3 linked regions of the Drosophila melanogaster genome follow. The protein of the gene in region 2 purifies or fractionates together with the protein of the main gene of each other region. This does not show direct contact. Each region holds a gene or a part of one and is shown on either strand. Other genes may lie near its edges.

Region 1 (3,069 bases), on a different chromosome or scaffold from region 2:
AAGCCCAACTCGGGTGGTGGTCTGGTCAACTCCTACCGATCGCCCCCGGTCACGCCTGTGAAAAAATGAAGTGAAGTGAAGTGATGGAGCTCTGCTTCCACACACTTCTCTCTCGACGAAATCGAATTCTTATTTATTGCATTGTTTTTAATTTAATCTCTGAGCTTTTATGTATTATAATAGTTTCCCTGCCCGCCCCGACCTCCTTTCCCACCTTCCTAGTTGTATTTTTGTATTTTCAATTTGTTCAGCGCACTGTTAACCTCTACGAACCCCAAGATGGCCGAGCAGGCGGTCCTCTAGCTATTATTGGTAGTTGAAATTGTTTCTGCATTAAATGAAGGAAGTAAAATTGTAACTACCAAATCTTTCATTTGAATGGAGGCAGCATTCAAATATTGAATCACCTTTCCCTCATCGGAGATTTCGAGTTCTCAGCCATTACTTTGCAATTATATCTGGATGTTTTGCTGGAGAACACAACTAAAACAACACCAATTAGATTCCATTTCAGTGCCTCGTTTATTAGACCTTAGGAGGCTTAGCATAGTCAAGATCTGGTTGGGGCACCTGCTCGCTGACCTGCTTGGCGGCCAGCGAAATCTGGGGCAGGATTGCTCCGCCCTCTGGTACAAATCCGTGGTCATCGGCCTTGTAGGTGACGGTCACCTCCTGTCCGTTGGCATCGAAGTAGGAGTAGGAGCCGCTGATCTCCAGGTACTCGTTCTCGGTGCCTTGGTTTCTGACCACGGCCTCCTCCCTTCTGTGGGTGCCGTCCTCGCCGAGGTAAGAGAAGTTGTACGATCCATCCTCGTGCTTTTCGTGAGATGATTCGAGAATGGCCACCGGTGGCTGGGTGGTGGATGTGACGTGGTCCACTGGAGCACTCAGCACGACGGCCGTGCAAAGGGACAGGGCGACGATGAGCTGGAAAGATGGTTTAGGAATGGGCTAATCCTTGGAGTGATCGCCTCTCGGCGGCGCGATACTCACAATCTTAAACATGCTGCTGTCTGGAGGGGAAGCTGGCTTTGAATTGACTCCGAGTGAGGGAAGACTGCTCTTTATATTTCCAAAACTGAAGTGGAATTGGAATTGCTGGTCGCCTTGTTTACCGGTTATCGTCCGGCATCCAGACACTCACTTACATACACTCCATATGTACAAATTGAGTCCGCGGGTATTTACTTGAAACCCGTTCTAAGAATTAATTAAAGAGCGAGCTTCTTACCCAGGCCCATCTGCCATCTCCCATTGCAATTTCGAATCTCGGCCTGCAATTTGAGATTCCTAATTTATGTTCGACCCCGGATCAGGGTCTCACTTACTTATCTCTGCTATAGTAGCATTCGGTTTCGGGAGAATTAAAAAAAAAAGTTTAAGATGTTTTGCAGTCATTTCAAAAGATCACTGAAAATATGTTACTTTTAAAAATTATTTCTAAGTCGAAGATTTTTACTTCATTTTTCGTAAGGTATTCGTTTAGCTTGTGGAAAATAATGACCAATAAGCATTAGTTCTATTTCGGTTGCCCTGGCCACTTTTCATTACATTGTTTGAGCTTCAGCTGCTTGTGTTGTTTGGGCATTTTCCAGATTCAATTTTTCTCGAACGCCAACACGGCGGGAAGTCGGTTTTCCGCTGCCAATTGTTTACACGAAAACTATAAACAAAGCAAACACACGACGTCCGTCTTCGCGCTGATTCCTGCCTGCTCCCATTGATGTTATTTTTGGCCAGTGGGCATGAGGCTGCACCAAATCTTCCATCCTCTCCAGCCGACCATACTATATGCGTTCCACATAGCAGTACCAGCCGGTCAGATGAAGATGTAAATGCTGGGGACCCATATGATGGAGCTGGAGAAGGGGACGGTATTGGGAATGGGCATGGGGATGGGCCCGGAGGTGGAGATGGAGGTGGGATGGTTGGATGAGCAGGGCTGAATACTTAAAGGTGGCACATACGCATCGTTCGATTCGGATGCGGTCCGATTCCTGGCATTCTGTTTATGCAACAATAAATTTTACATTTAATTTTCGATACATTTGCCAAGTCGAAGATGCCCCGATTTGGATCCATTGGATCGCTGAAGGCGGACGAAGCAATTTGTTCGATTCCGCATGATCGGGGAATCTGGCAAATATTGTTTCTTTGTTCGGGCTGTGTTATAATTAATTATTAATCGAAATCCTGAATACCGTTTGAGTATTGAGCAATCAGAAAAATTACTAAGCACATGACTGCTGGCACGATTTTGAGTTTTCTCTGCCTTGGTGTTTGATTTCCAAATGTGCTTTGTACCAGTGAATGGGAATACGTATTCCCAAATGCTGTAATTTTAGGAATTTAGTCATTGGGTGTTGTCCCCCTGTGTGTTCCGATACTCAATAGATTTTTATAAGCTATTTCCGAATAATTTTCGGTACGATTTTATATACCTGCACTGAAAGTTTCGCTGCCATTCACAACTTTTAATTACCAAAAGATCATTAAAACGTACGAAGCTGCACAGAAAACATGAAAAGTTCTATCTTTAAACTTAATTAGAGTTCTTCGGCTTTGGCGACTTTATGACTTTTTGTTAGATGCTCATGATTTTGATGATAATGATCGCAGATGAGCCGTAAAATGAGTTGAATGCGTCGTTGCGTCAGTTGACTTTGATTAGTCAGATGAAATATATTCTCGAGTGTATATCACCAAACGATGAAATACTTACTAATACTATATACACCTGGATCACCTGCAAATCGCTGAGCAAACTCATAGTAAATACGCCTTTTTCCCTTTCCTGTCGTTGTGGAATTGAAACGCCAGTAAGCGGAAAAAGACAAATCGACTAGAATTTGTGTATCCACTTTTCACATACCGATCCGCACACATGGAGCCGTGATGAGATTGGTTCTTGTTTGGGATTTGGATTGGAATTGAATTGAATTAATTTAATTTGGTTCGATTGATTTATGGTCCAATCTGTGCTCTGGAAAACTGTGCCAAGTGGCGGCTCTGCTGCCGTCTAATGATCGAGCGTCTATATGCACGCCATACGAAAATAGTTTTATTTTT
Region 2 (6,912 bases):
TAAGTTAAAAGTTATATTGAACTGAAGATTTGAGCCAAACTTGTTTCGAGATTGCAGATGCACTAATATAGATATTTATGTATGTATGTATGTAGTTTCTCAACAGATGCATTCCATGCATGGATCAATTAACAAACCATAATAGACCGCGACAAGATCATAATCACGATTAGTGGCAGAGTGCAGGTTAGCCAACCATTTCTTGGATATTACTTGATTTCCCACCAATCTGATCTGCCCACTGAAAATCTCTTTTTTTTTTGGTATAAATTAATACGTTTCTTAACCGAAAAGCATAACCAATTTGAACAATTTGATAGTATTTTATAAAATTGTTATAAACTGAGTAGAAATATGATTCTAAATGGATATATATATATATGCACATCAGTTGATTATGTTGAATATTTGTGTAAATAAACATATGTTTATTGTTGTAAGTATGTAATACTTAGTGGCTATTTAAAATGCGCCAACAGATATCACTGATCCGAACCGTTGGCCAATTTTACAACATCTTTGGCCTATTGGGCCAACATAATGCGTTTTACATGGCTCGAAGATGCGACTGGTGGCTTGCATAATAATCGGCTCGTTTTATAAATACCTGCATATAGATGGAATATAGCCACCATCAATGAGATGGTTCGGCTTGACAACAGATTCCGATTCAGATTCACCTTGAAATTGCCGGATGAGGTGAAATGGAATGGGTTGGTTTGGTTTCGATTGGATTGGATTGGGTTGGGTTGGGTTAGGTTTTCGCTTTGGTTTATGACAGACTGCCGGCCGCCTTGTGAGGCAACCGCTTTGCAGCACGCCCGTGTATGCAAATTGAATTGACCAAAATCCAAAATCCAAATCGAAATCAAAATCAAAATGAAAACGAAAACCTAAACCATAAAACATAAGATGCCGAATAAAAAAAAAAATACGAAATATGAAAGCCCCATTCCGAGCTTATCACTAACGTAGCGTCTCATTTTCATGCTAATTGTGGGATCCCCATTCGGAATTTGGGAAATGCAGCGTAAGACTTGATGAAACTGAAACTGGTAGCTGGTAGCTGGTAGCTGGTAGCTGGTAGCTGGTAGCTGGTAGCTCCGAATCCAACTGGCTATGGAAGAACCAACCACGACGATTGGCACTTTTGGGTGCGTCCAGCAGCATTTGGTGAAAATCGAAATGAAAACGAAAGCCCATCATCATGATGCTGCTCATCATCGTGGCGATGATGATGATGGCGTTGATGGGCAGTTTGGAAATGTTAATGAAACGCCTTTTGTTCGCCCTTGCTGGCTTATATCGTATAAAAGACTTGGTCTCCAATCGATCGGACATCAGTCGCTTGCTCATCGGCACTCAAGGCGTTTTTTTTTTTTTGGAATTGGTATCATCGCATCAAGTGGATTAGTAGTCAGCATGAAGGTGAGCTGCTCACAATGTCCTGTGCCGGCAAATATCCTCTTCTAGTTTTTTTTTTTTTATTTATCCAAACTGATTTGAAAAGTGACAAAGTGGCAAGAGCATCCTGAGCTCAGTTTAAATTCTTTCGAACTTTCGAAGAAGTGATAGTTAATATTCAAATACAAAGTGTGCTGAAGAATATCAGAAGATTGAAAATGAAAATATTTAAACAAAGAATGAATACAAAGTATATCCATTTGGAAAATACAGTCTATGAAGATCAAAGATCCTTTAAAGATATAGAAAAAAAAACCAGCGATAAAACTCTACTTTCTAATTGGAAAACATAACAAAAACTTAATGAACTTTATATATTCTTTAAAATCCTCTAAGGATGCAACATGAAACATGAAACTAAATCGCTTCTTATACTCTGCCATCCTTCCAGGTCTTCGTTTGCATGTGTGCTCTGTTCGCTGTGGCCAACGCTGGCTTCCTGGGACTCCTCGGCGGTGGCGGCGGTGGAGGCGGTGGTGGCGGCCTTAACCTCGGAGGCGGTGGTGGCAACGGAGGCGGCGGCGGTGGTAGTGGCGCTCGCGGCTATGGCGGCCATGGACCCAGTGGCCCAGTCCAGGTGGTCAAGGTGATCCATCAGCAGGGCGGCGTTGGCTACTCCTCCGGCGCTAGCTATGGCAGCGGCTATGGCTACGAGGCGGCTCCCCAGATCTTCAAGGTGAAGGTCATCTCTGGCGGCAGCGGCGGTGGCTATGGACCCGCTCCTGGACCCGCTTATCTGCCTCCAGCTGGGCCCGCCCCCTCCTCCGTCAAGGTGATCAAGATCCTGCAGGAATCCGCACCCATTGTGAGTGCCCCGCTGGTCGAGAGCGCTCCGCAGATTGTCAAGGTGGTGAATGTGGCATCTGGACCCGTGGCTGGACCATCCTTCATCGGCGGCTCTTCGGTTGGCGGCGGTGCCGTGTCCCAGGTCATCAAGGTCGTTCACGAGAGCCACGACAGCGGCATCTCGTCGGGTGGCTACTCGTCGGGTGGCTACTCCTCCGGTGGTTACTCTTCGGGTGGAGCCACCAAGGTGGTGCGTGTGATCCATGAGCACTCCGCTCCAGCTGCCGGTCCAGCCTATGCCCCCATCGATGTGCCCGCACCAGTGGCTGCTCCAGTCGCTTCCTACCTGCCTCCTCAGGAGATCGCTGCTCCGGCTCCAGTTTATGCTGCTCCAGCTCCGGCTCCAGTTTATGCTGCTCCTGCTCCCGCTCCTGTGTACTCCGCACCTGCTCCCGCTCCAGTGTACTCCGCTCCTGCCCCAGCTCCTGTGTACTCTGCTCCTGCTCCCGCTCCAGTGTACTCCGCACCTGCTCCCGCTCCAGCTTACTCCGCTCCTGCTCCCGCTCCAGTTTACTCCGCTCCTGCCCCAGCTCCAGTCTATGCCGCCCCAGCACCCGCTCCCGTCCTGAGTGTGCCACATCCCGCTCCTGCACCCGTTTTTGCTCCCGAGGAGCAGTCCCTGCCCATCGGTCACGCCCCTGCCCAGACCTACGGCCCACCGGGATACTAGAACAATTCGCCAATCTATCGGAGGACCTTCCTGCTAACTACATCGACAGCATATTACCATTCCCACACAACGCCATGAGTTAATTTAAGACATTTTTTTTACAACACATTTTTTTGTTACCAAATACATAGACAATTCCAAAAAAAAAAAATCCAATTTTCTTTTTTCAATTCTATAGTATTTATCATCTTTATAAAGAGTTTCAAAATGGATTATCTTCTATCTGCCAAAAGTATAATTTTAGCCATTGATTAATTCTTGTTTCCATAAAAAAAAAACAAAGTTGCTTTTTATTACTACTTTTGAGAGAAATTTAAACAATCATCCGAGATAAGATATGCGAACTATCCATGAATGCAACACACCAGATGAAATACAAACTATACTATTTGTTAAGATGAAAGACGAGCTCATTTACAAATTGTAAGTTTTTATGCTTATGCGATTTGCATAAATTGGCAAGGGAAAAAGAAACGACGTTCGTCTCTTTCGGCCAAAATGCAAATCACTCATATTTTTGACTTAAAGATTGCCAAAGCATTATCATATCAACGGTCTATCCCACAGCGAGCAAATATTACACATTTCTCTTCACCAGCTCACATACATATATTATAAACTATATAAACACACAGTTTAGCGGCATAACATGAAAAAAAAAAGAAAAAAAAATCATTTGCCTGGTGGATCACGGGTCATTAATACGATATTATGATTCGCTTTTTTATTGTTTCATAACTCTCTGGCTTTTTAAGGTGATCGTTATGTTTTTTATTTATTTCAGACACAAAGCATCGATTGTGGTTTATTGGTGGCGGTTGTGTGGTGATTACGTCTATTCGGCAGCCTTGACTAACGCTTCGGCGACCTCCACGGCAATGGCAGCCTGGGCCTTGGCCTGCAAAACAAGGATCGTGGTTAAGTCTCGTTTAGATAGCTTCAGAATGTGCAATACAGAATGCAAAAGCAACTCAAACATAAGTTTACTCATGGAAATATCGAATGTGTAAGCGTTAATTTAAGAGCAAACTTGTTTGTACAAAGAAAGTATATCAAGTAAAAAGGATGGGCACATAGAAATCGTTTAGTAACTTAAATGCCAGTTGGCGTGAATGGTGGAAGCAGTGTTTCCATCAAAAGAGTCTGTTTGAGTTGTACTTTCTGGACCACTACTTCTACTTTCTAGACACTACTCTACTATGCAACTTCTTGACTAGATTCGCACCTTGTCGTCGCCAGCGGAGCTAAGCTGTGACTGGTATTTCGCGAGCAGCTGGCGCGCCTCATTGGCATCGATGTCCTCGATGTTGTGGGCCTCCTCGGCCAGAACCTGAACGGAGGAATCCTCGTTGACGGTGACGGAACCGCTGGAGACGAAGAACTTGAGGGTCTTGCCATCGTTTTCCACCACCTGGACAACGCCGGGCTTCAGGACAGCTGCAATAGCAAAGAGATTCGCCAACGGTGATATAACCATCTCGAGGCAACTGAAACTGAATGATCGAACTTACCCAGAGTGGGCACGTGCTTGGCCAGGATGCCGAAGGATCCCGAGAAGGAAGGCACATCGATTTGGCGCACCACAGCGGCATCGTAGAAGGTTTTGTTGGCGGCGGCGAAGGTCAGCTTCATCTCATCCGAGTAGCTGCGGTTCTGGGCCAAGCGAGCGCCGCGGGCGGCCAGCAAACGGGCGTTCTTAACGAAGGACATTTTGGGCTGCAACGAGAGGATAAATTCAGGATTAAAAGTCTTTTCTGCCACAGCCAGCCAGCATAACAACAAAATAACCAAATTATGTAACTTTGTAGGTTAGGCGGCGGCTGCTATTGCGTTTCCCCAGCTCAAATTTCGATCGCTTTTCATTGCAAATCCTCGGGCACTGTGATCAGTGGACTACCCCTCAATTTATCAGTTATTTTCACCTGTTTTTATTTCGGTTTGATAGCGAAAAACACGAGAAAACTTCAGTGATCAGCCGCTGTTTTTGCGAAAAACGTTTAAGTCAGAGTGACCAGCCGGGAATACAAAACTTATCTAGCAATAACGCGTTTTTACGATATTTAGAGGACAAGACAAAATACAAAATTTTCAATACGCAACAGGCTCTTACAAAATAAAAAGTGCAATCATTTCACACATAATAATTAAGTGTTTTAATTATAATAATAAAGTGCCTCAATCAATAAACAAATTATATAGACCAATAAACTTTTAGTGGCAACACTTATTCTTTTAATTCATTAGTCTGGCATCGCCAATTAAAAGCTTAAATTTTTTGTATATTGCTTTTGATCGTACATTAAAAATGATATTAAAAGAAAAACTATTTATTCCAAAAATTATAATTTAAAAAATGAAATTTCCTTTATTAGATTAAGACTTTGATTAATAACGGTGTGTTTACATGGCATAACCATGCGACCATTTATACTGTTATGAATCTGGTGTTTTTGATTTTGTTTAGTTTCTTTTTCAGTATTTCCTTTTTTATTAGATCCTTTTATTAAAGTTCGGAGTTTTTTCGTATCTCACGAATCTTTTACCCGCGCAACATTCAAAACTGGCGTTAGCGACTATTTTTAGCCACCGCGCTACCTGGTCACACTGGCACAGGCAGCACAACAACAAATTCCAATTGGAAATAGAAACGAAACAATGCAGATTGCTGCATTATTATACAAGTGAAGAAGAAGAGAGTGCCATTTTCGGCTGCTATTTGTGCACGTCTCTGTGACTGTGTGTGAGTGTGTGCGTGTCGCGTGTGTGCTCTGCGCTGAGGTGTTTGTTGGCGAACGACAGCGAAAGGCGACAAGCAAACAAACAAACAAACAAAACACACAGGACGTAAGTGCTTGCAACATTTACCCAAGTTTGTCACCCACTCGCGCCCTCTCTGTCGCACCTGCAGGCGAAACGCAGTTGCGAAAAACAACAGTGTTTCCCCATGTTTGTGTTTGTGTGCATAGATAGCTGTCTATATATTTTTCGCTCTGCTTATTTTCTATTTTGTTTTGTTATATCTTCTATTTTGCTTGGCTCTTCGTGTATGTGTATAGGTGTCTTAGCAAATTGCGCCTTTCAGTTGGAAAAACTCTGCAAAAAATAGAAACAGAAAGCTTGCCTTAAAGTTCATTCCTCACACACACAGCTGACTTTGTTGTGGAAAAAGGGTGTGAAGAAGAGAAGGATTTTCTGCTTTTTGTTTGTTGCACACATACAGGCCCGCATACACATGTGAACGAGCAGCTGTAGCGCGCATGTGTATGTGTTTGTGTATTTTTGTTTACCTCTCTCTCCGCCGTCACACTCTCACTCACTCTCTTCTCCGCTGTCTTGCCCTCTGCCTGCGTCGCGGTCGCCAGTGGCGTCGCAACGCAATATATTTCATGTTATTTCTGATAAGAGAACTAACCGCAATCGGTCTATATAAACATATATACAACAGATCCGATCCTTAGCTATTGACCCCAAGCTATAGCGGTGCGAGCGGAACGGCAACATCGCAAAGAAGCAGCGGCATAAGACAACAACAATGTTGGGTCGTTGCTCCTCTTTTTGCTTCTTCGCTTTCATCTTCTGCTCCTTTTGTTTTTTGTTACGGTACTTTTAGATACTTCGAAAAGTGTATACCCTTCGTACTATCTGATTCAGGCAAAATTATATGTAGGTTTTCTTGTCATCCGATCTTTATGATTAGTTGTCAATCTCAACTAATTAAGAATAAAACAAATAATTAAAAACCCATAATAATTCTCAAAAGTAATGTTCAGCTTAGTGAAGTAAATGACATTCTACTTGCGTTTTAAAATTTGTTTTCTAATTAGTTCGTTTTGTTTTTTGGAACCAATGCCCCAAACAATACCCTACCTTCTGGTCAAATAAAAACAAATACATAGCAAGCGGTGAGAAACAACGCAAAAGTTGACTTTTTG
Region 3 (3,526 bases), on a different chromosome or scaffold from region 2:
ACATTTTCAGGGATGGTCAATGACAGTCGCTTCGATTACTACAGCTTATATGGAAGGCCAACAGGTTAAATGAAGTATCTAGCGTATCTGTTTGGTTGAATAATTTTGTGGTTCTTGCTAGTCGTAAGGAACTACAGCTGCATACCGGAGGTTGGGCTGTTCGTGGTGTATACTCAGCCTAGTGCCTACTTGAATGCCTCACTGACCTGTTCAAACTCCTCGGAGTTCACTGGTAGTCTGGCCCACATCGCATCCGAACACAGAACCAGTTTATTGGCCCAATGGCTAGTGGAATTCAACAGGAAATCACAGTCTCTGGCAGAAGGTAATGTCTATCTGGCCTATGTGGGTTTGGCCTACAACAGCTCAACGTCATTGAGCCCACTGGACTTCAGGAACTCCCAAGGGGAGAGCTTGCAGTGCTTTCTTTACAGAGCCTGGGATGGTGGTCATCCTCGAGTTGGGTAGGCTGACAGTTTATTAGGTTAGCCGCCAATGCTATCTTCTCTAAATCTAACCGAATTTGCAGTGGTGATCTGGGCAACGCCAGCTGCGTGGCCTTGACGCCGCAGGGAACCTGGCAAACCCTGAACTGCGACCGGGAGCTGCCCTTTATCTGCGAAATCCACACGGCCCGGTCAACTTTCGGCTGGGAGCAGTCCAGTTCCGAGCTGGACATCGGCCCAAATGCAGTCTTCGAGTGCGGAAGAGACCGAGTCTGAGTCTATGGCAGCATGGATATTCGCAGCCGTTTTATTCACTTAAGCAGTTTTCAAAACACAAAAGCCAAATAGATATAGTTTAGTGGTGATTGCCCGCCTCTCGCACGCCTTGTGGAAAGTGTAGAATCTGTTGCAGATGCAGGACCACCGGGCAGCGCCGCTTAGTGGTACTTGTAGTTCCTGTGGTGCTTCAACTTGGTGTAGTTAATCAGATAGAAGAACGTCATGCTGGCGACGGTCAGCTGGAAGAAGGGAGCGATCCCGGCGCGCTTTGGGAACACGTACTTGTGCTGCCAGCGCCACCAGGCACGGCTCACAGCTCCGGCCACAGCGTTGGGGGTCTTGTTGCGGCGTCCCAGCCAGGCGCCGATCTCGCCCAGCTTGACCTGGCCGAAGGGCACATCGGCTGCGGATCGGAGAGAGCGGAGAGGTCGGAAAGTTGTTTAAATTATGTAAAACGCTGCACATTTTTGGGCAGTGCAAATGTGCTCTGTGCCTGCCGCAAAAATTACGTAACCTGCTCACCTTTGCCGTAGAAGCGAGCGGGGTCGTAGGGCCCGTGCACCTTGGGGTTGTACTCAGCTGGATAGTCACCGAATGCCATCGCGCTGGTTTGGTTGAGATATATTCTTAAATCGGATTCTTATGAAACATAAAATTACGCCTGCTACTTACTTCCTTCGATACTGACAGTATGACCAAAGCGGCGAGAGCTGGGATTTTCATCGACCAATATACCGAAATATACTATGTGCGAATTTATTGTGTGCGTCTCCGCTAACAGGGAGGATGTATTCGCTACGTCATCGATACAGCGAATATATCGATGCCCGATGCACGATGCACTTCTCACATCACTAAGCTCCAGTATATACAGAAATCAAATAGGATTTTTGCAAGCCTGGGCATTCGAATCAGAATCCAGCCAAAGCGAATCCAGTGTGTAAACAAAAACAATGAAACTGGAGGAGTTGCTGACCAAGGGAGCCTCCTCTCCGCCGGAGGACGACGACGAGGACGAGAAGGTGGAGCTGAAGCCGCAGAAGTCAAGCAGCGCCACCGCGGACGAGGGGGCGGAGAACGCGGAGGATGCGGCCGAGGATGCTGGCGAGAAGGAAGGCGCGGGTGGCAAGAAGAAGGGCACGCGCAAGAAACGCTCCCTTAACTGGGAGGAGGCGGAAAGGGGGCTGCTCCTTGAGGTCATCAAGTCCAAGGTGGCCTTCGTGGAGAACCGGAGCGTGGACGCCAAGAGCATAAAGGCCAAGCGTCTGGCCTGGTCGCAGATCACCAAGCAGTAAGTTGCGCCATTGGGCAGTGGAGCTCGTCTTATAATGGCCCTTCACTCCTTCCATTCCAACCCCCCATCCAGGTTCAATGCCCTTAACTTCCGCCATCGCCTGCTGGAGCAGATCCAGGTGCAGTGGCGCAGCATGAAGAACTCCGCCAAGCGGGAGCACCAGCAGAAGCATCCGAAAACGGAGGCCCTGGAAGGCATGCGGATGATCGAGTTCCTGGAGGAGATGCAGAAGGATCCGGTCACCTCGCGCAGTCAGACACGCAGCGCGAACACAAACGGCGCTCTTAAGAAGGAGCTCATGGACATCGACGAGGACGAAGACATGCCGCTGGCCGCTCTGCCCAACTCTACGAACGCCAGCGAGGACACGCTGCAGACCTCCACAATAGCCATCCCCTCGCCGCCGCCCTCCACTGCTGGCGGAGACGGGGACTCCCAGCAGGAGGGAAATCCCGCCCAGCTGCCAGCCCAGCGACGCAAGCGGACCAAGGCCAAGCAGTCGCCCTCGGGCGCCAAGACAGAAACGTCCGGCGAAACGGGGGAGGAGAACGAAAAGGGCGTAGGCCCACCACGAAAGCGGCGACAAAGGAATGTGAGTTTGAACACAAGCCGCAAGTTTATTTATTATTATTAATTAAGGTTTAGCTGAACAAGTTGCAAATTTTTGTGAAGGGGAATCTTAATCTTTCTTACTAATAATACTATCTCATCGTTAACCAGCTCTCACAGGCCCAGTCGCTGCTGTCCGACGAGAACGAAGCCTCCACCAACGCAGCTCCGAGCGCCACCCCAGTTGCAGACACAAATAGCCAGTCCTTAGATTTGGTCGCCGCCACGGAGATAGAGCAGAAGTACAAGCAGGACCTGTTTAGGCTGCTCAAGCAGGCCCGTCTGGCCGAAATCGACTACGCCCGGCGGGAACACGAGCAGAAGCTGCGCTTCGAGCAGATGGAGCAGGAGGTGAAGATGGCCTACTACCGGCAGGAGCAGGACCTCAAGCTGCGGCACATGCGCGAGGAGCACGACATCCGGCTGCGGCAGCAACGACGGGAGCACGAGGCGCGCCTGGGGATCTACTCGCTGAAGAGCGGTGGCCTGAACGGAAGCATACAGGATCAGAGTTCAGCAAAGTGCAATGCCAAAGCGGACTACAACAATGTCCACGAGGTCGGGCCATCGACCAGTGCGGAGGGGGCGCTGGCGCTCAATGCCGCCTGCAACTAGGGGCGTGGCTGTTGGCCCATATGCATATACAATACGAAGAGAGCCAGCAATTAGGGTGTAAGGCATTTAGAGGAAACATCAACAGTACTTTAAAATTTAGCTTGAAATATGTTTAGCGAAATGTAGCTCTTCCGGTCAGCCAGAGTAACCGGAAACGGAAACGTAAACGCCGGACGCGCATACAATACTCATCGACACACTCAAGTTGCCACTCGGACGAATGGACTGTTGTTTATTGTGCAATTCGCACGAGACGAACTCACAGGCATTGCATTTTCAAGAA

The links.
Region 1: the proteins of ATPsyndelta (region 2) and Cpr78E fractionate together in Drosophila melanogaster (co-fractionation; one study listed by BioGRID). This does not show direct contact.
Region 3: the proteins of ATPsyndelta (region 2) and ATPsynF purify together in Drosophila melanogaster (affinity purification with mass spectrometry; 2 studies listed by BioGRID, with this or other methods). This does not show direct contact.

What each region holds. Positions count from the first base shown.
Region 1 is NT_037436.4:21,665,952-21,669,020, forward strand, and holds Cpr78E (cuticular protein 78E), read right to left. Parts: upstream 1,030-3,069; 5' UTR 1,006-1,029; coding exon 994-1,005; intron 928-993; coding exon 526-927; 3' UTR 501-525; downstream 1-500. Other genes in the region: CG43980 (uncharacterized protein), read left to right, coding at 1-69.
Region 2 is NC_004354.4:10,211,065-10,217,976, reverse strand, and holds ATPsyndelta (ATP synthase, delta subunit), read right to left. Parts: upstream 5,008-6,912; 5' UTR 4,903-5,007; intron 4,697-4,902; 5' UTR 4,691-4,696; coding exon 4,492-4,690; intron 4,418-4,491; coding exon 4,206-4,417; intron 3,879-4,205; coding exon 3,816-3,878; 3' UTR 2,981-3,815; coding exon of another isoform or gene 1,856-2,980; 3' UTR 1,429-1,855; coding exon of another isoform or gene 1,423-1,428; 3' UTR 584-1,422; downstream 1-583. Other genes in the region: CG2962 (uncharacterized protein), read left to right, coding at 1,423-1,428, 1,856-2,980.
Region 3 is NT_033778.4:24,598,370-24,601,895, forward strand, and holds ATPsynF (ATP synthase, subunit F), read right to left. Parts: upstream 1,453-3,526; 5' UTR 1,398-1,452; exon of another isoform or gene 1,331-1,397; 5' UTR 1,327-1,330; coding exon 1,248-1,326; intron 1,129-1,247; coding exon 884-1,128; 3' UTR 723-883; downstream 1-722. Other genes in the region: CG13587 (uncharacterized protein), read left to right, coding at 1-64, 122-464, 530-722; CG3548 (uncharacterized protein), read left to right, coding at 1,679-2,016, 2,092-2,611, 2,740-3,243. UniProt on the Drosophila melanogaster protein: Mitochondrial membrane ATP synthase (F(1)F(0) ATP synthase or Complex V) produces ATP from ADP in the presence of a proton gradient across the membrane which is generated by electron transport complexes of the respiratory chain.